2 linked regions of the Cricetulus griseus genome follow. The protein of the gene in region 1 binds, or shares a complex with, the protein of each later gene. Links are inferred from orthologs where the notes say so. Each region holds a gene or a part of one and is shown in the gene's direction. Other genes may lie near its edges.

What was found.
Region 2: Ercc2 (region 1) and Polr2d share a complex: the UniProt entries of both Homo sapiens proteins name them as parts of the TBP-based Pol II pre-initiation complex. The link is inferred for Cricetulus griseus from reciprocal best matches to the Homo sapiens genes ERCC2 and POLR2D.

The regions. Positions count from the first base shown.
Region 1 is NC_048602.1:27,964,879-27,973,709, reverse strand, and holds part of Ercc2 (general transcription and DNA repair factor IIH helicase subunit XPD), read left to right. Parts: intron 1-858; coding exon 859-936; intron 937-1,012; coding exon 1,013-1,075; intron 1,076-1,215; coding exon 1,216-1,329; intron 1,330-2,627; coding exon 2,628-2,744; intron 2,745-2,954; coding exon 2,955-3,071; intron 3,072-3,413; coding exon 3,414-3,537; intron 3,538-3,628; coding exon 3,629-3,725; intron 3,726-3,810; coding exon 3,811-3,944; intron 3,945-4,014; coding exon 4,015-4,183; intron 4,184-4,626; coding exon 4,627-4,745; intron 4,746-6,358; coding exon 6,359-6,428; intron 6,429-6,505; coding exon 6,506-6,575; intron 6,576-6,656; coding exon 6,657-6,758; intron 6,759-7,667; coding exon 7,668-7,731; intron 7,732-8,094; coding exon 8,095-8,216; intron 8,217-8,831. UniProt on the Homo sapiens protein: ATP-dependent 5'-3' DNA helicase. Component of the general transcription and DNA repair factor IIH (TFIIH) core complex, not absolutely essential for minimal transcription in vitro.
Region 2 is NC_048595.1:205,579,391-205,588,884, reverse strand, and holds the start of Polr2d (DNA-directed RNA polymerase II subunit RPB4), read left to right. Parts: upstream 1-3,617; 5' UTR 3,618-3,674; coding exon 3,675-3,747; intron 3,748-7,105; coding exon 7,106-7,286; intron 7,287-8,858; coding exon 8,859-8,954; intron 8,955-9,494. UniProt on the Homo sapiens protein: Core component of RNA polymerase II (Pol II), a DNA-dependent RNA polymerase which synthesizes mRNA precursors and many functional non-coding RNAs using the four ribonucleoside triphosphates as substrates.

The DNA.
Region 1 (8,831 bases):
ACCGCCTTTACGTGCTGAGCTGACTCAACAGCCCTGAACACAAACTTTCTTTAAAACAATTTTTAAAAATTGTATTTATTTATTTAGAGTGTGGGTGTCCATGCTCTGGTGTGCATGAGGAGGTCAGTGGACAACTTCTGGGAGGCAGTTTGGTTCTTCCTTCGGTGTAGGTGCCGGGGATTGAACTCAGTGATCAGCTGGGCCCCAGGTACCTTTACCTGCTGAGTCATCTCACTGGCCCACAAGTCTATTGATACTCTTAATCTTTTTTTTTTCTTTCTTTCTTTCTTTTTTGGTTTTTCAAGACAGGGTTTCTCTGTGTAACAGCCCTGGCTGTCCTGGAACTCACTCTGTAGACCAGGCTGGCCTCAAGCTCACAAAGAGCCTCCTGCCTCTGCCTGCTGAGTGCTGGGATTAAAGGCGTGCGCCACCAACGCCTGGCAGTCCTCACAATCTTGTTCCAAGTAAGGGCTGTGGAGCCAAGGAGTCAAGCAAGGATGCTGTGACCCAGGTGTGATCCAGAGAGGTCAACGAAATAGGGCTCAGCCTGCAACCCCAGTACTCAGGAGGTAGAGGCAGGAGCATCACCAAGTGTACAAAGCCAGCCAGAGGTGCATAGCAAGTACTAGACTAGCCAAGGCTACAGAGCACGATCCTTGGGATGAAAATTAAGGATGAAAAATAAAAACTCCAGCAAAAAAGAAGCAGAGATGAAGCCCCTTGTTCCCTGGGCCTTGATGGCAGTTCACCGTTGTGTGTGTCATGTTCCTAGGTAATGGTGTCCTCTAGGGTCCCCAGAGTTTATGACCCCGAGGTTCTGAGAGCCCGTGTCTTGTCTCTTCTGTGCCCAACTTTCAGGGTCATGGAGTCCTGGAGATGCCCTCAGGCACCGGGAAGACAGTGTCCCTGCTGGCCCTGATAGTGGCCTACCAGAGGGTGAGTGACCATCATGGGTGTCTGGACTGGGGGGCGGGGAGGGGCTGGATGGGGCTGAGCTGATTGTCACCCACAGGCTTTTCCGCTGGAGGTGACCAAACTTATCTACTGCTCTCGGACTGTGCCAGAGATTGAGAAGGTGGGCAGTGAGGATGGACCCAGTGGTCTGTCCCCTCCCCTCGGCCTCAGTGGTCCCCAGTTGCTGCCCTCACTGGCCTGGTGGGCAGGGGCTTATGCTGGTCCTGAGGTCCCCACGCAATGCTCCCATCGTCTAAGCAGGTCATAGAAGAGCTTCGCAAGCTGCTCAGCTTCTATGAGCAGCAGGAGGGCGAGAAGCTGCCGTTCTTGGGACTAGCTCTGAGCTCAAGAAAGAACCTGTGCATTCATCCCGAGGTGAGACCCGGGCCTCGCCCTCAGCCTTGGGCTACCCAGTGCAAGCCCCAGAGACAGCCCGTGGCCATGTGAGGTGACCACCAGTGTAACTCCCTTTTCAGTTAGATCTTGGGTCATCAGTCAGAGCGCAGGTTAGCTCCTGCTCCTAGAACAGAAACTGCTGGAGTGCCAGGGTGACGCCTCAGAATTTCTCATTTGACCTCATGGGATAAGTCAAAGTCTAAACGGTAGAGCACATTTGAAGTGTTAGGATTTTTATATACATGAAACATAAGTGAATTTCATGGCAGCCTCCTGTCCTATCTGACGATATCTATTATATGTATGTAGGTATTCCAGAACCCCAAAACACAGTTGAGCCAAGGGCTACTCAGTGAAGACAGGGTTTCTCTGTGTAGCCCTAGCTGTCCTGGAACTCACTCTGTAGACCAGGCTGGCCTTAAACTAACAGATCCTCCTGAGTGCTGGGTTCAAAAACATGTGACACTAACTGTCGGCTTGAATTTTTTTTTTTTTTAAGATTTATTTATCTAATGTGAGTTCTCTATTTGCATGTACACCCTTATTCCAGAAGAGGCCATCAGATCCCATTATAGATGGTTGTGGTTGGTAAGAACTGAACTCAAGACCTCTGGAACAGCAGCCAGTGCTCTTAACCTCTGAGCCATTTCTCTAGCCTTGTCTAGCTTGTTTTTTAAAAGAGAAACTTAGAGCCGGGCGTTTAATCCCAGCACTCAGGAGGCAGAGGCAGGCGATCTCTGTGAGTTCGAGGCGAGTGTGGTCTACAGATCGAATGCCAATAGGCTCTGAAACTACACAGAGAAACCCTGTCTCCAAAAAACAACAAAAAATAAAAGAGAGAGAGAGAGGGAGAAACTTAGATTTTTATTTTTTAAACACTTATAAACACTTCTATGTTGTTTTTTTAAGATTAATTTATGTGTTATGTAAACAGTGTTCTGCCTGCGTATCTCCCTGCACACGTTTTATTGTGAGGTAGGGCCTTGGTGTTTGCCCGGGCTGGCCTGAGTTGGTGCATTCCTCCTGCTCCAGCTGTCTTGGTAACTGGGATTCAGGTCTGTGCTGCCGTGCCCAGCTCTGGGGACGGTTCTGATGTCCCACTCTGACATCCCTGCAGCAAGTCCTTTTAACTAATAGTGGCTCAGGTGAAGGTTCTGGCTGCCCAGAAACCCCAGCTGACCTGCTACTTGTGATGTCCCGAGTTGGGAAACCCAGGTTGGCGTAGCTGGCACGCACTACCTCCTGTCTCTGTTGTAACTTGTCCCCTGAACCCCCAGGTGACACCACTGCGCTTTGGGAAGGACGTGGACGGCAAGTGTCACAGCCTCACAGCCTCATATGTGCGGGCCCAGTACCAGCAGGATGCCAGCCTGCCTCACTGCCGCTTCTATGAGGTGCAGGGAAGGGCCCGGGCCGGGGAGGGCAGACACCCTCAGGACAGCAGCTCTCCCTGACCCTTCCATCTTCTGGCCCGGGCCGGGGAGGGCAGACACCCTCAGGACAGCAGCTCTCCCTGACCCTGCCATCTTCTGGCCCGGGCCGGGGAGGGCAGAGACACTCTGGACAGCAGCTCTCCCTGACACTGCCATCTTCTGCCTCCCCAGGAGTTTGATGCCCACGGACGCCAGGTGCCCCTCCCGGCAGGCATCTACAACCTGGATGACCTGAAGGCCCTGGGGCAGCGGCAGGGCTGGTGCCCCTACTTCCTGGCTCGATACTCGGTGAAGAGTTGTTTTGTTTTCTTCTGGGGCAGGGTCTCACTTATAACCCAGGCTGGCCTCAAACTTAGAAGAACCTTACGCAGGTTCCCAGCTATGGGGGTTATAGGCATGAGCCACTTTTGCCCACCCCTCCGTTAGCCCATCTGTCTGCTTGCATCTTTGTTGACCTGGTACCTAGGTCTTCCTGTCTCCAGCCTCTGTTTATGCCTTGCCTGGGTGGTCCCATCTGTCTTTTCCATCCACCTGCTGTCTGTCTTGGTGTTACGTCTGTACACCTGGGAAGGAGTGGTATGGCGGGGGCAGCAGGGCCCAAGGCAAAAACTTATCCCTCCATGTTCCTAGATCCTGCATGCCAACGTGGTGGTTTACAGCTACCACTATCTCCTGGACCCCAAGATCGCAGACCTGGTGTCCAAAGAGCTGGCCCGCAAGGCCGTCGTGGTCTTCGATGAAGCCCACAACATTGGTGAGGAGGGTGCCAGGGTGTGCAGACAGCGGCGGCCTCTCTGCCCCGCCCCCAAGCCGGCTGAGCCCATGTCTGTCTGCTTTCCTCCTAGACAATGTCTGCATCGACTCCATGAGTGTAAACCTCACCCGCAGGACTCTGGACCGCTGCCAGAGCAACTTGGACACCTTGCAGAAGACGGTGCTCAGGTGCCCACTCTGCTCCCTGTGTGCCGCCTGCCTCCGTGGCCCTGGACACCTGCCCCATTCCAGCTCTGTCCCATGTCCCCGCCAGGATCAAGGAGACAGACGAGCAGCGGCTGCGGGACGAGTACCGGCGCCTGGTGGAGGGGCTGCGGGAGGCCAGCGCGGCGCGGGAGACAGACGCGCACCTGGCGAACCCTGTGCTGCCGGACGAGGTGCTGCAGGGTGAGCCGTGCCCCACCCCCCACCCTCACACGCCTTCCTTCCCGTGCCAGCTGACTCAGTCTCCCTGCAGAGGCCGTGCCAGGCTCCATCCGCACTGCCGAGCACTTCCTGGGCTTCCTGCGGCGGCTGCTGGAGTACGTCAAGTGGCGGCTGCGCGTGCAGCATGTGGTACAGGAGAGCCCTCCTGCCTTCCTGAGCGGCCTGGCTCAGCGCGTGTGCATCCAACGCAAGCCCCTCAGGTGCGCATGCTGCCATGGGGACCTCAGGTCCAGACCTGTGGCTGGTGACGGGGTCAGGGGTCAGGTCAGAGTCGGATGTGGAGCGAGCCGTGTCACTGTGAGGTCAGCTCTTGGCTGTGACCGCTGCAGGACTACCTGGTACTTCTGCAGCCCTATGCGTGTGCATATGCGAGCCTGGGAAAGTGTGTGGCTGTTCTTTCTGAGCGTGGGGCCCACGACACTGGCTGCACAGCACAGTGACTGATGGCCATGGGTCTTGTTTGACAAGAATTTGCATACAAGCGGCAAACCTGGGCGCCGTGTGCGTGTGCTAGTGCTGTGCGGTAGCTGTGGATGTTTGCAGTGTGGGGACAGCTTGGCCACAGACGATGCCCAGGTAAACAGGTGGCGAGAGTCCCAGCCATTGCTGCTTCCCTCCCTCTCCCGACCCCATGGCTTCTCAGGTTCTGTGCTGAGCGCCTGCGCTCCCTCCTGCACACCTTGGAGATTGCTGACCTGGCTGACTTCTCCCCGCTCACACTCCTTGCTAACTTCGCCACTCTCGTCAGCACTTACGCCAAGGGTAAGCTCCCCTCTTGCTCCTCCTGGCAGCGGACTTGGGGGCCTAGCTAAGTCGGGTGGGGTATTAGCAGGAAGTCTGGGCATGTGAGACAGGGGATTTGAGCTACTATGAGGGCCCTGGGGAACAAGCGAGTGAGCGAGCCTCGTGTTCAGATTCGTGTGTCTAGAGGCTCCTCCTGGCTGCAGGGGGAGAACTCGAGTGAGCTGTGATACTGAGCAGAGGGATGCTGTGCGGTCAGCCCACCTTTGGCTGGGGGAGAAGTCCTCATGTGTGCCTGAGGGCACCGGGAGCCATGGCAGGGTCTGGGCAAGGGATGTACTTGGTGAGGTTGTTGTTTTCAAGGTTCATCCAACAGAGAGGGGGAGCCATAGACTGTGGGGACAGGAAAAGGGAGCCTTGGGGAGAGCTATGGGAGAAAGCGGCCAGATGTAAAAGCCCTTGAGGGAGAGGGATGCAGGTGATGCACAGGGAGAGGGGACAAGCTACAGCTTTTGTTGCCCCCGCCCGCCCCAGCTTTGCACTGAGTTTTTAAGCTTATCCCTGGGGATTAGTACCGTAGCCAGGAAACCAGGTCAGCTGGCGTCCTGCAGCTGGCCCAGCCTTGGAAGAAGGGGCTGCTGGCAGCTGTCTGCTTCCTTCTGCCCTCACCCAGCCTCTTCTCCTGGCCTTCATTGTTCTCCCTCCGGCCCCCACCTACTGATGCATCCATCACAGTCTTACAGAAAGCCTCCTTCCCTGTGCCCCATCACCTGCCCGAGTCAAGTCCTTTACCTCTCAGAAAGTCACCCCCACTCCATTCCATCCTGGGCCTGCCCCTCCCTCTGTCCCAGCTGGGTCTCTGGCTAGCTGTCTCCCCCGTGCAAGGAGAGCCCTTTTGGGTAGGACCGAGATTCTGTTGGTTTCTGCTGGGTCCTCAGCATGATGCTGGACACAAGACCTGGTCTTTCCTTGCCAAGTGAAACAGAATCTGTGAATGTAATCATTTGTTCAGTCAACAGATGGGCCAGGCTGGGCCCCGTGGAGACAGCGGGATCTAACACAGCCAGGCTGGGCCCGGAGTCTAACACACACAGCCAGGCTGGGCCCAGCACAGCCTTAGTTGCCCCCCTCATCCTCCTGTCCATATCCCTACCCTCATCTGGGAGCCACAGCCTGGGGGCTAGGAGCAAAGATCACTCCAGAAGGGGACACTAGAAAGTGTGGCTGTGCTGTGAGGAGCAGGAGTCCTGGCTCCCAGGGTGCCTGTGGAACAAGGACCCAACCAACCAAGTGGGCCCTGGGACATGACGCTGATACCGTAGCTGGGAGCAAGGGCTGGCCCTGCAGAGTTCATGGGCACACTTCTGGGTATGGCAGGAGTGTGGAGACACCAGCCAACTTAAGGTTCCATAGCGTCTCCCCGACTGCAGTGTGGGGAGCAGGGGGGGACAGGTGGGAGTGAGGCCGGCCTGGGGGAGGGCGGGCCTGGCCTCCCTGCGGGGCCGTGCAGTGAAGCCCTGGCTCACCCTGCTTCCACACCTGAGCGTTTGTACAGTCCTGTCCTGCGCTAGCCATGGCAGGGGCAGGGGCAGGCGGGGGCTGTCGTGCACACTCACCGGCCTCCTCCTCCCCAGGCTTCACCATTATCATCGAGCCCTTTGATGACAGGACCCCGACCATTGCCAACCCCATCCTGCACTTCAGGTGAGATGCAAGCCTGTGTGGACAGGATGGCTTCGCCCCCGGCCTCTGCCCTGGGTGACGACTGTGTTATCCCACAGTTGTATGGACGCCTCCTTGGCCATCAAGCCTGTGTTTGAGCGCTTCCAGTCTGTCATCATCACCTCTGGGGTGAGGACTCTGTGCTGTTGTTCCATGGGGGCCCTGGTCCCTGCCCCAGTCTGCTGAGGTCCTCCTTGCTGTCTCTTGCAGACACTGTCCCCACTGGACATCTACCCCAAGATCCTGGACTTCCACCCCGTCACCATGGCAACCTTCACCATGACACTGGCCCGAGTCTGCCTCTGCCCAATGGTGAGTGGGTGAGACCCATGGGAGCACCAAGCCACCAAATGGTGCCTGGAAGGGTCTCTTCCCAGCAACCTGGACCATAGTGCTCAGGGAGCAGGCCTGGTGCTTTATCACCGTATAGGTCAGGGTGAGTGTGCCATTTGTCATCCAGCTGTGACTTGGATAATGAGCCTGCCTCTGTTTTGGAGTTTAGAGTGTGGCCGGCTGTTAGACATATTCACCCCACAGTCCATGGGCCACATGAAGCCAGCTGTGGCTGGGGATGCTGTTTGGCACATCAGAAACACTTTAAACCTTACGCAAGGTTTGTAGCCTGCTTGCATGCTTGTGGAGCACGAGCTGTGTACAGCCTGTCTGCAGGCCTGCTCTCGGCAGCAGGGGTTAGTTAGACGGTTGTTTTCAGAGCTGTGGGCTTTTTGGAATGTTCCCTCTGACCATTCACTGGCATGGTGGACTGGGGAGGGAGGCTAATGGGGTGTGTGTTTTGGGTGACCTGTGTTCTGAAACTACCTAAGGCTGGAGTGTAGCCTTGCCTAGAAGCAGAGGTCCCTGCCCTGGGACCTGTTGCAGGGCATTGGCCCAAGCAGTTGCAGCCATAGGCTTAGGGCCACTGTCTATGTCTACATGACGCTTTCCTGAGCTCGGGCCTTATTTGGTACAGTGCTCGCCTAATACATGGAAGTGCCTGTGCTAGCTAGCTGTGGTAATGCAGGCCTGTGATCTTGGGAAGTGGGCAGGAGGACCAGGAGTTCATGGAACTTCAGAGGTTGGGGAAACAGCTTCTCATGGGTTTGGGAGGGTAGGTAGCCTCAGTGAAGCTCGCGTCTAAAGGCCAGCCTGGGCTACATGAGACACTAAGTCAAAAAAGGGGACATTTGTCAGGTGTATCACAGAACCTTCACTCTGTTTCAGATCATTGGCCGTGGTAATGACCAGGTGGCCATCAGCTCCAAATTTGAGACCAGGGAAGATATTGGTGAGTCACCTGTGTGGGCTTGGTTGGGGTGGGTTACAGGTGGACAAGGACTTGGTACCATAACACACACACACACACACACAACCAGCCTCTGTGGCGGACACAGGCCCACTGTGGGTTGAGCCCACCCTGGGTCTCTTCACTTTGGAAGCTGTGCCACCAGGCACCACTGAGCCGTAGCACCAGCAGAGGGCCTTTGGAACAGTGGGCACTGGCTTCTGAGTGTCATCTAGAAGAGACACCGCCACCTCTATGTATTTCTTGTGCTGTGGCATGTCTCTGGGTGGCTTGGGAGGAAGGAACTGGATAACTAGCCTCAGTGAGCAGCAGGAGAGGATCCAATCTCCAATCCCCTCTCCCTAGCTGTAATCCGCAACTACGGCAACCTCCTGCTGGAGATGTCTGCTGTGGTCCCCGACGGCATTGTGGCCTTCTTTACCAGCTACCAATACATGGAAAGCACCGTGGCCTCCTGGTATGAGCAGGTATGCCTAGTCCCCACCACCCAAACCCTCAGCTCTGCTCTTCCTGTGGGGGCTTCACTCCCCATGTTTCCACCATGACACATGTCACAGGACAGGATGGTGGTGCTAACAGACCCTGCAGGCTCATCAGTGTTTCCCTTGACCAGAGAGGACCACCATTGGGGTTACTGCAGACTACATCCCCAGCAAGCAGGCCTGGTGCCAGGGGGACGGTGTTGTGAGCTTAAGGTTCCACTCTAGGAGCTCTTGTGTGTGGGTGAGGCCTCTGCCTCCCGAGTGCTGCGATTAAAGGCGTGCGCCGCCGCCACCCGGCCAGGACCCTGTATCTTGTCCTAGTGGGCAGCCTGACTTTTGTCTCAGTCATTACAGTGACAGATTTGAACTCTCGGGATAACCCCTGGGTGTGGTCCTTGCCTGGATTACGGTCAGGCCCTCCACCTCCACTGGCCACTTTAGGCCCCGTGCCCACCTTCTTGGGTGGGGATCAGCTCCCCACTTTGGACTGCCAAAGAGGTTGGACTGCTGAGGGCCCAGAGAAGGATCTCCACGGAAGGCCACAGCAGCGGGGCTGGAAACAGGAGCGCTTGGTCCTGTGCCCTGACCTCCCTGTCCCCC
Region 2 (9,494 bases), on another chromosome or scaffold:
AGTCTCAAGGCAGACTCAGAGGAAGCAGGATATGTACGAAATGAGATAATAAGCCATGAGCCACATAGCAGCAAGTGAAGGGATAGACATGGGTTCATTTAAAATGTTAGTTAGCTAGTAGCAAGCTTGAGCTATTGACTGAGAACTTGTAATTAATATTAAGTCTCTGAGTGGTTATTTGGAAGCAGCTGCTAGGACACAGAAAAAAAAAAATCTGCCACAGTTCTGGAAACTGAAGGGAATGGTGCTCTGTTGAGGACCTCACGATACATGGCATTATGAAGAATGCATATAAGAGGAGAGAATACATGGCAAAGGTGAATGAAATTCAGAGAGTCTGTTGTGCAAAGGGTACTAACTACATTAATCACTCCTAAAGGTATGCCTCAGTGATCTAAGGACATTCTATAAGGTCTCACTTCTTTTTAAAACAAATCATTGAAACCTTTAAAATACTATGTGTGTTCACACACATGTTCGGGCACCATGTATGGAGGTCAGAGGGCAACTTTTGGGAATCAATCTTCTCCATCATGTGGATACCAGAAATTAAACTCAGCTCCTCAGGCTTGGTGGCAAGTACCTTTAACCACTGAGCATCTCTCTCTCTCTCTCTCTCTCTCTCTCTCTCTCTCTCTCTCTCTCTCTCTCTCTCGCTCTCTCTCTCTCTGAGTGTAAACATATCCATGTACAGTACAGAGAACAACCTTATCGGAATGTCATCTGGTTCCTTTGAGGGAGGTCTCTCAGAACCCTTAATTTACAATTAGGCTAGACTGACTGGCTAGTGATCCCTAGGGATTGTATCTATCTTCTTCTTCCCCAATGCCTGGATTATTAGCACTTTATGTGGGTTCTAAGGCTCTATAACAAGGACACGGTGGTCATCTAGGGAGCCATCAAGCTCACTCCCTGATATGGACAAAGAATTTGAACACCTAGGAAAGACAGAAGACTGAGCCCTGGAGAAAGGGAAAGTAACAGCTTTATTCCTTAGGGATGGGAGAATCCCTGGTCAGAATTCCTAAATGGACTCTTGCTTGAGTATTTTATAGGGCCCCTGGAATCTCCCCTTCCCATCATGGGTGGTCCTGTTTAGATACCTGTCTCCATGCTTTCCTGCTGTCGATTCTAATGTCTTCTGGGAACAAGAGAGCCTGCTTTTTCTTTCCTTGTCCACCTATGTTCCCCAAACTCTCTTTCAGATGAAATGTGGGTCCTCACACTTTCATGGCAAGCACTTTAGTGACTGAGCATCTCCCCAGTCCCAGTCCCCACCTCTTAAAAGTCCCACCAGTTCTACTTCCAAGTTTAGGGGAATCAAGCTTCCAATACACAAACCTTCAGGGGATACATTTAAACCACACCCCAACTTTAGACGCTATCTTTCCTTAGCAGCACCTTGTTTAACTTTCCGTTATATCATTTACTGTTGGTGAGCTCACTTTGAGGACAGATTTATACCTAACTCATCATTTTAACCTCATGCCTTACAGATGGCTTTTAATGATTTCTTGAATGAAAATGCAATAAATAACCAACCTGTGAAATGTCAAGTTTATATTTTTGTTACTCTGCTTTTTTTTCTATATACTTGGTGACTTCTCTCTCTCTCTCTCTCTCTCTCTCTCTCTCTCTCTCTCTCTCTCTCTCTCTCTCTGTGTGTGTGTGTGTGTGTGTGTGTGTCTGTCTGTCTGTCTGTCTGTCTGTCTGTCTTTCCCTGGGTCCTGGGTATGTGCTGAACCTCCAGCCCATTTCTAACTATTTAGATGCAGTATAACCATGAACTATTGTCTTGGATATCTTTTCAGGAATTTTGATAAGCCCCAGCATATATGTTGTGAAGTTTTATAGTTTTGTTTCTAAGATTTATTTGTTTATTTTATTTATATGGGTGTTTTATCTACATGTATCTCTGCACACCAGAAGAGGCCATTGGATTCCCTGGGACTACAGTTATAGATGATTGTGAGCTGCCATGTGGGTGCTGGAAATTGAACCTAGGACCTCTGTAAAGAACAGAGTTTTTTAAGCATTTCACAGTGCTTTCCTGAACAGTATATGAGAACTTCACAACAGGGGCTGAAGACATGGCTTAGTGGTTAAGAGCCATCTGCCCAGTTTTCAATCCATTTTTTTTTGGGGGGGGGGGTTTGAGACAGGTTTTCTCTGTGGCTTTGGAGGCTGTTCTGGAACTAGCTCTTGTAGACCAGGCTGGTCTCGAACTCACAGAGATCCGCCTGCCTCTGTCCCCCGAGTGCTGGGACTAAAGGCACCACCACCCGGCTTTCAATCCATTTTTAAAGATTTATTTTGAGCCGAGTGGTGGTGGTGCACACCTTGAATACCAGCACTCGGGAGGCAGAGGCAGGTGGATCTTTGTGAGTTCAAGTCCAGCCTGGTCTACAGAATGAGTTCCAGGACAATAAGGACTGTTAACACAGATACATCCTGTCTCGAAAAAGAACAACAAAAAAGATTTATTTTGTGTGTATGTACAGGGTGTGTGTGCTCCAAAAGAGGATAGAAAGGGCTTTGGATCCCTTGTAGCTGGAGTCAACAGGTGTTTGTGAGCCTCCTAATGTGGATTCTGGAAATTAACTCAGGTCTTCTAAAAGCACATCAGTGTTCTTAATCACAGTGCCATCTCTCCAACCCCTTCAATTCATTTTTTATTAAGTTAGCTGAATTTAGTACTGTTTCCTAATGAGCCAAGCGCTGGGGAAGATTTTTTCCCCCCTTATTGTACAAACACTTGTTTTCTCTTGTGTTGAAAATAGCATTACTTTTTCCTTTAACTTTCCACTTATGATTCAAACGTCCCACAGACACACTAAAGGATTCTCAATATTAGAGTTCATTTGCTCTGAATTATTAAATACAGTACAAACAATTAACCCTCGCACCCCATTTTGCAACAGGATGGTATGTAGCCTGGATTGGCATGAATCACGGATTTGCTATATAGCCAAGGCTCAGTCTCGAACGTTGTTTTTGCTTGTTTTGGTTTTTTGAGACATGGTCTCACTCTGTAGCTCTGGCTGTCCTGAAACTATCACTGTCGTTGAACTCTAAGATCCTCCTGCTCCTGCCTTGCAACTGCTGGGATTAAAGGCATCTGCCACTATACACCGCTCTCCTTCAACTCTTTATCCTCTTGCCCAGTAGATTAATACATGACCACCACATCGGGTTAATCAATTTGTTTTTTACATAATCAAATCATTGAAAGACATTCCAATATGTTTCTGTAGTCACCTACCCAGCTTCCTTCCCATCATAGGCCATTCCTTGGGTCGGTCACTTTGGTCTTTCCTGCACTTCACTTAATCCTTTTCTCCTGAACGGGTTTACTGACCATTCCAGGTCTCACGGCAAGAGCGTTTGGAGAAAATAAACAGCTCATCTCCAAGACGGCAGTACAGAACCCCCTCCAACGACCGGGAGCCACCAGGAATGCGACCTGAGCGCCCTCCTCGCGCAGTGAGGCCAGTCTCGTGAGTGGCCCCAGTACCTCCCCCTTCCAACCTTCCCCTCCCGCCCACTCGGCTTCCTTAGGGCCCGCCCTTTCCATCTGGCCCCGCCCCTGAACCGGATAGGTTCCTCCCTTGGTGGGTAGCCCGCCCTCGCGGCTTCCGTTTCCGGTGGTTTCTGTGGCGGTACATCCTGAAGCAATGGCGGCCGGCGGCAGCGATCCCCGGGCTGGCGACGTAGAAGAAGACGCGTCTCAGCTCATCTTTCCTAAAGGTGGGACCCGGGGCACCTCGACTCCGAGGTGACATGGTCCTTGAGTTACAGTCGTTATCCGCTCCTTGGTTAGCCCTAGCCCTGGCACGTCGTAGGATTGCCAAGGGATACGCACAGGGGATTGGTCAGCACGGCACAGATGAACCCTTGCGTGGTTTACTTAATTCCTTGGAGAAACGTCCACGCCCGGGGTTTTGGAATCGTGGATATCCACATACCCTACTCTTGTAGTGCCACTTGCTACCTTTTTTTTTTCCTGCTTTTTCGAGACAGAGTTTCTGGCCTCGAACTCGCAGAGATCCCCCTATGTTTGTTTGTTTGTTTATTGTTTGAAACTGTGTCTCACTTGTAGTCCTGGATGGCCTGCAGTTCATATTGTAGACCAGGCTGGCCCTGAACTCAATGAAATCAGCCAGCCTCTGCCTTGTGAGTGTTCGAATCAAAGGCGTGCGTCTCACACCTGGCAGTTTTGTTTTTTTCAGAGTTTCATGCTATGTATCCTAGGCTGGCCTCCAACTTGTCACATTCCTGCCCCATTCTCCTGAGTGGTGGAATTAAGGGCATGGGCTCTTGACATTTAGAGGTATTTATGTCCATTTTCTGGCATGCAAAAGGCAGATCTGGAGCACAGGTCTTAGTTTTGTTTTGTTTTGCTTTTTGAGGCAGGGTTTCTCTGTAGCTTTGGAGCCTGTCCTCGATCTGAAGAACAGGCAGGCCTCGAACTCACAGAGATCCTGTCTCTGGCTCCCAAGTGCTGGGATTAAAGGCGTGCACCACCACTGCAGGTCGGAGCAGAGGTCTCTATTCTAAATTGACAGCTGGCAGAAACTCAGCTATAGCCCCATTATAGTGCTAGTCAAAAGCATCTCAAGGTCTATAGGTCAGAAGAGTGCCATTGCTCCTGAGCAGAGATGCTGTTGTCATTGGGTTCTGGGCCCTCTTTTTATATTTTTGAGTTATGAAGAACAGTTGGAAGCAAGATGGGTTCCAGTCTGGGATGACTGGTACCTGCTGTTCAATGTATTTTTGTGTGCCACCTTGCTCCTGCTACAGGGAGCCTGTGGTAGGTGAATAGTTTGAGCCCAAGAGTTCAAGGCTAGCCTAGGCATTCGAGTAAAACACCAAGATGAGTGCTGTGCCTTTGTGAGTTTTGTTTTGAGCAGGGTCTCATGTAGCCCAGACTGGCTTGAAACTAGGAAGTAGGCAAGAATGGCCTTGAACTTGCCATCCTCCTGCTTCTACTTCCATGATGCTAGGAATTAAACCTAGATTTTTTTTGTTCTTTGTTTTTGTTTTGTTTTGTTTTTATTTTAAAGACAGGATTTCTTTGTAGTTTTGGAGCCTGTCCAGGAACTCACTCTGTAGACCATGCTAGCTGGAACTTACAGAGATCCTCCTGCCTCTGTCTCCTGAGTATTGGGATTAAAGGCTTATGCCACCACCACCGGGCTTAAGCCTAGTTTTTTGTGCGTTCTAAACAAACACTCTAAAAATTGAGCTACATCCCCAGCCCCTGTTTATGATAACAAATCCTTTTTTTTTTTTTTTTTTTTTTTTTGGTTTTTGGAGACAGGGTTTCTCTGTGTAGCTTTGGAGCCTATCCTGGCACTCACTCTGTAGACCAGGCTGGCTTTGAACTCAGAGATCCACCTGCCTCTGCCTCCTGAGTGTTGGAATTAAAGGCGTGGGCCACCAACACCCGGCCTGATAACAAAAATTATTGATATCTGTAACCAAGTGTCTACAGAAAAATTGTGTGTGTGTCGTGCGTGCGTGCTTGTGTGCACATACTCTCAGACTCACGTGTATACAGGTACCTGTGGAGCCCAAAGGTATCATATTGCCTGGAGCTGGATGTATGGATTTATGTGAACCGTTTGAATTGGTTGTGGGGAACTGAATTTGGGTTCTCTGTAAGAACATCAAGACTTCTCAACTACTAAGCCTTCTCTGTGGACTATGCCCTCGCTCCTCCCACCCCCAATTTTTGAGATAGAGTCTCATGTAGCACTGGCTAGCCTGGAATTTTCTTTTCTTTTTTTTTTTTAAGATTTTATTTATTTATTATGTATACAACATTCTGCTTCCAGTATATCTGCACACCAGAAGAGGGCACCAGATCTCATAGTGGATGATTGTGAGCCACCATGTGGTTGCTGGGAATTGAACTCAGGACCTCTGGAAGAGCAGTCAGTGCTCTTAACCTCTGAGCCGTCTCTCCAGCCCTAACCTGGAATTTTCTATGTAGACCAGGCTGGCATCACACATGCAGAGATTCTCCTGTCTCTGTCTCCCAAGTCCTGGTATTACAGCCATGTGCCCAATTTGTGTGGTGCAGTGGATGGAATTTATGGCTTTGTGCATACTGAGGAAACATTCTATCAACCAAGGTACATTCCCAGCCCAGATAGCAACATTAACTTATTTGTTTGTGTGTGTATGTATATGTTATGTACATATGTGTGGGCACATGTTCTTATGCAGGTGCTTTTAGAGGCCTGGAGTTAATGTTAAATAACCTCCTTGATTATTTTCCACTTACTGAGGCAAACTCTTGCTGAACCCAGAGCTCACAGCTGATCTAACTGGTCAGCTTGCCTCCAGGGAATAAATACCTTGTCTCACTACCAACTGCTGGATACAGGCACCCCACTATACCAATTTTTGGGGTTCTGAGGATCTCAACTCTGCTCCTCACACTTGAGTGGCAAGTACTTTATCAACCTAAGCATCTGCCCAGCCCTAAATAGTGATTTTATCTTTTCTCTTTTTTTTTTAATTGAGATGAAAAATCTTACTTTTCAAAATTTTATATATAAGGATGTTTTGCCGGCATGTATGTCTGGTGCCCATAGGAGCCATAACTAGGCATTTGATTACCTGGAATTGGACTTACAGATGATTGTAAGCCACCACATGAGTGCTGGGAACAGAACCTTGATCCTCTGGAAGCCAGTGCTCTTAAGTGCTGAGCCCTCCCTCCAGCTCTTATGTTAGTGTTTTAAGATTTACTTTTATTTTTATTAAGTGTACAGGTACCTGAGGAGGCCAGAGGTGCTGTAAGGTGTCTGATGTGGGTGCTGGGAATTGAACTTCCTTTGCAAGAGTAGTATATGCTCATTTCTCCAACCCTATAGTTTTGCTTTTTGGTGTGTGTTTGTTTGTTTGTTTGTTTTTGAGTCTCTATGTGTTTCTGACTTTCCTGCAGGTCACTAATATAAGCCAGGCTGGCTTCAAATTCAAAGATCATCTAGTCTCTGCTGCCCAAATCCTGGAACTAAAGGTATGAGCCACTACTGACTGGCGGATGCATGCTTTTTAAAAGAGTACTTTTAGTTCACACTTGCTCTTCTTGCAGAGTTTGAAACAGCCGAGACTCTCCTAAACTCCGAAGTTCACATGCTTCTGGAGCATCGAAAACAGCAGAATGAGAGTGCAGAGGATGAGCAGGAACTTTCAGAGGTTTTCATGAAAACCCTAAACTATACAGCCCGCTTCAGTCGTTTCAAAAACAGAGAGACCATTGCCAGTGTTCGTAGGTGAGTACTAAGAGTTAAAAGACAAAATTTACTTATATATGTTGTAAGGGTTTTTTTTTGCTCGGGGGAAGTTTTGTTTGAAACAAGGTTTTTTTGTGTAACAGCCCCGGCTGTTCCGGAACTCGATTTGTAGACCAGGCTGGCCTCAAACTCACAGAGATCAGCCTGCCTCTGCCACGCCCCCTCCCCAAGTAATGACATCAAAGGCGTTCGTGTACCACCACACCACACCCGACCTAGGGTTAAGAGTATTTTGCCTGCTTGTATGTCTGTGCACCATGCAATGCCCACAGAAACCAGAAGAGGGTATCAGATCCCCAGGACTGGAATTACAGGCAGTTGTGAACCACCATGTGGGTGCTGGGACTCAGAACCTAGGTCCTCTGGAAGAACAGCTAGTACTCTTAACTGCTGAGCCATCTCTCCAGCCCTACCTAAAGTTTTATTATTGTATATTCTCATGAGAGGTAGAGGCAATCAGGGAGTTCAAGGTCATCCTTAGGTTCATAGTGGGTTTAAAACCATCCTTGACTACATGAGACCCTGTCTTTTTTGTTTGTTTTTTAAAATAGGATTTCTTGCCTTGGCCATCCTAGAACTAACTCTTTAGAACAGGCCAGCCTCTATCTCAAAGAGATCTACCTGCCTCTATCTCCTGAGTGCTGGGATTAAAGGCATGCACCACCATCACCCAGCTTCAAATATAACTTCTTAATACTATATTTTGAAATGAAATTCATCGTGGTAAGCCTTATTTTATAGTGTAGACCATGAAAATACTGAAGATGCAGTTGACACACACAGTTGCACAAAGCAGAGTTTGGTGTATTTATTTTTAAAGTTAAAGGAGAGTTACTTCCATGTCAACATACTTAATAAATTGTTGTTTGACATTAACTTATCAAATATAGCAGGAAGATCAGAGAGCTAGAGAGTGACTTTCTGGAGGAAAACATCTGTCGCTTTGGGTTTTCATGAGGTGTGATTGGCAGATGCTTTTAACATTTATTAAATTTATTTTTATATGTGAGTGTTTTGCCTTTGCACCACATGAGTGCCAGGTAAACATGGGAGGCCAGAGACGGGTATCAGAGTCCACAGATCTGGAATTTCAGGCAGTTGTGAGCCACCATGTGGGTACTGGGAGCCAAACCTGGGCCCTGTGAAAGAGTAGCAGTGAATGCTCTTACCCACTGTGTGATTTCTCTAATACAGCAGATGCCTCTTTTACTCTGCTGTGCTCACTTGTTTCTTGTTTCCTTGACTCTACCTGCTGTGTTTTACTTGTTTCCTTTTTTCTGGAACTTTTGTTTCAGGGTTAAGACTAGGAAGTGATTCAAAAGGGGATTCTGTTGCCCACATGACCATAATCAAAGATTGTAAATATTTTTTCTCAACTGCATTTGGTCTTTTTGCTATTGATCATTGTTTGACATTTGACTTTTTTGCTTTTTATTAGCATATGTTAATTGTACATAATATATTTTGATCCAACTCATTTCTCCCCATTTCTGCTCTTGTTTCACTTCTCCTTTGTTTGTCTTTCTAAATTTTTATTTTCCCTGCAATCAGCTTGCTTCTCCAGAAAAAGCTACATAAGTTTGAGTTGGCCTGTTTAGCCAATCTTTGTCCAGAAACTGCTGAGGAGTCCAAAGCTCTGATTCCAAGGTCAGTACCCAATGGGACAAGTTTTGTCTGTGTTATATAGATTTCTTCAAGTCAGATTGCTAGATCTAAGTGTTTTATGCATTTGATATTTGGGTTGATGACATGCCAGCACTGAAGAAGAATGTAATTTTATGGTGTTTTTTATGTGCGTATGCACATGTATGCACATGTGTGTCACATTAAGCATGTGAAGGTCAGTGGACAACTTGTTAGATTTGGTGGTAAGCAACCTTTACCAGCTGAACCATCTTGCCAGCCTGAGAATGATGGTTTTATACCACACTGACAGAAAGGACATGGAACAGGGTGCTAGGGATATAGCTCAGTGGCAGAGCCCTTGTCTATTGTGTGTGAGGGTCTGAGTTTGCTCTCCCAGAACCTCACAAAGGAGCATAAGAAACAGCCAGAATTCTCATTCACTGCAGGTAATAGTAGAGCAGTTTTACTTTGTCTAGTAAAATCAATGTGACTATTTCCCATTACCCAAAAATGTATTCTAGTATTCACTAATGTGGTATTGATGATAACAGCTATTGGACA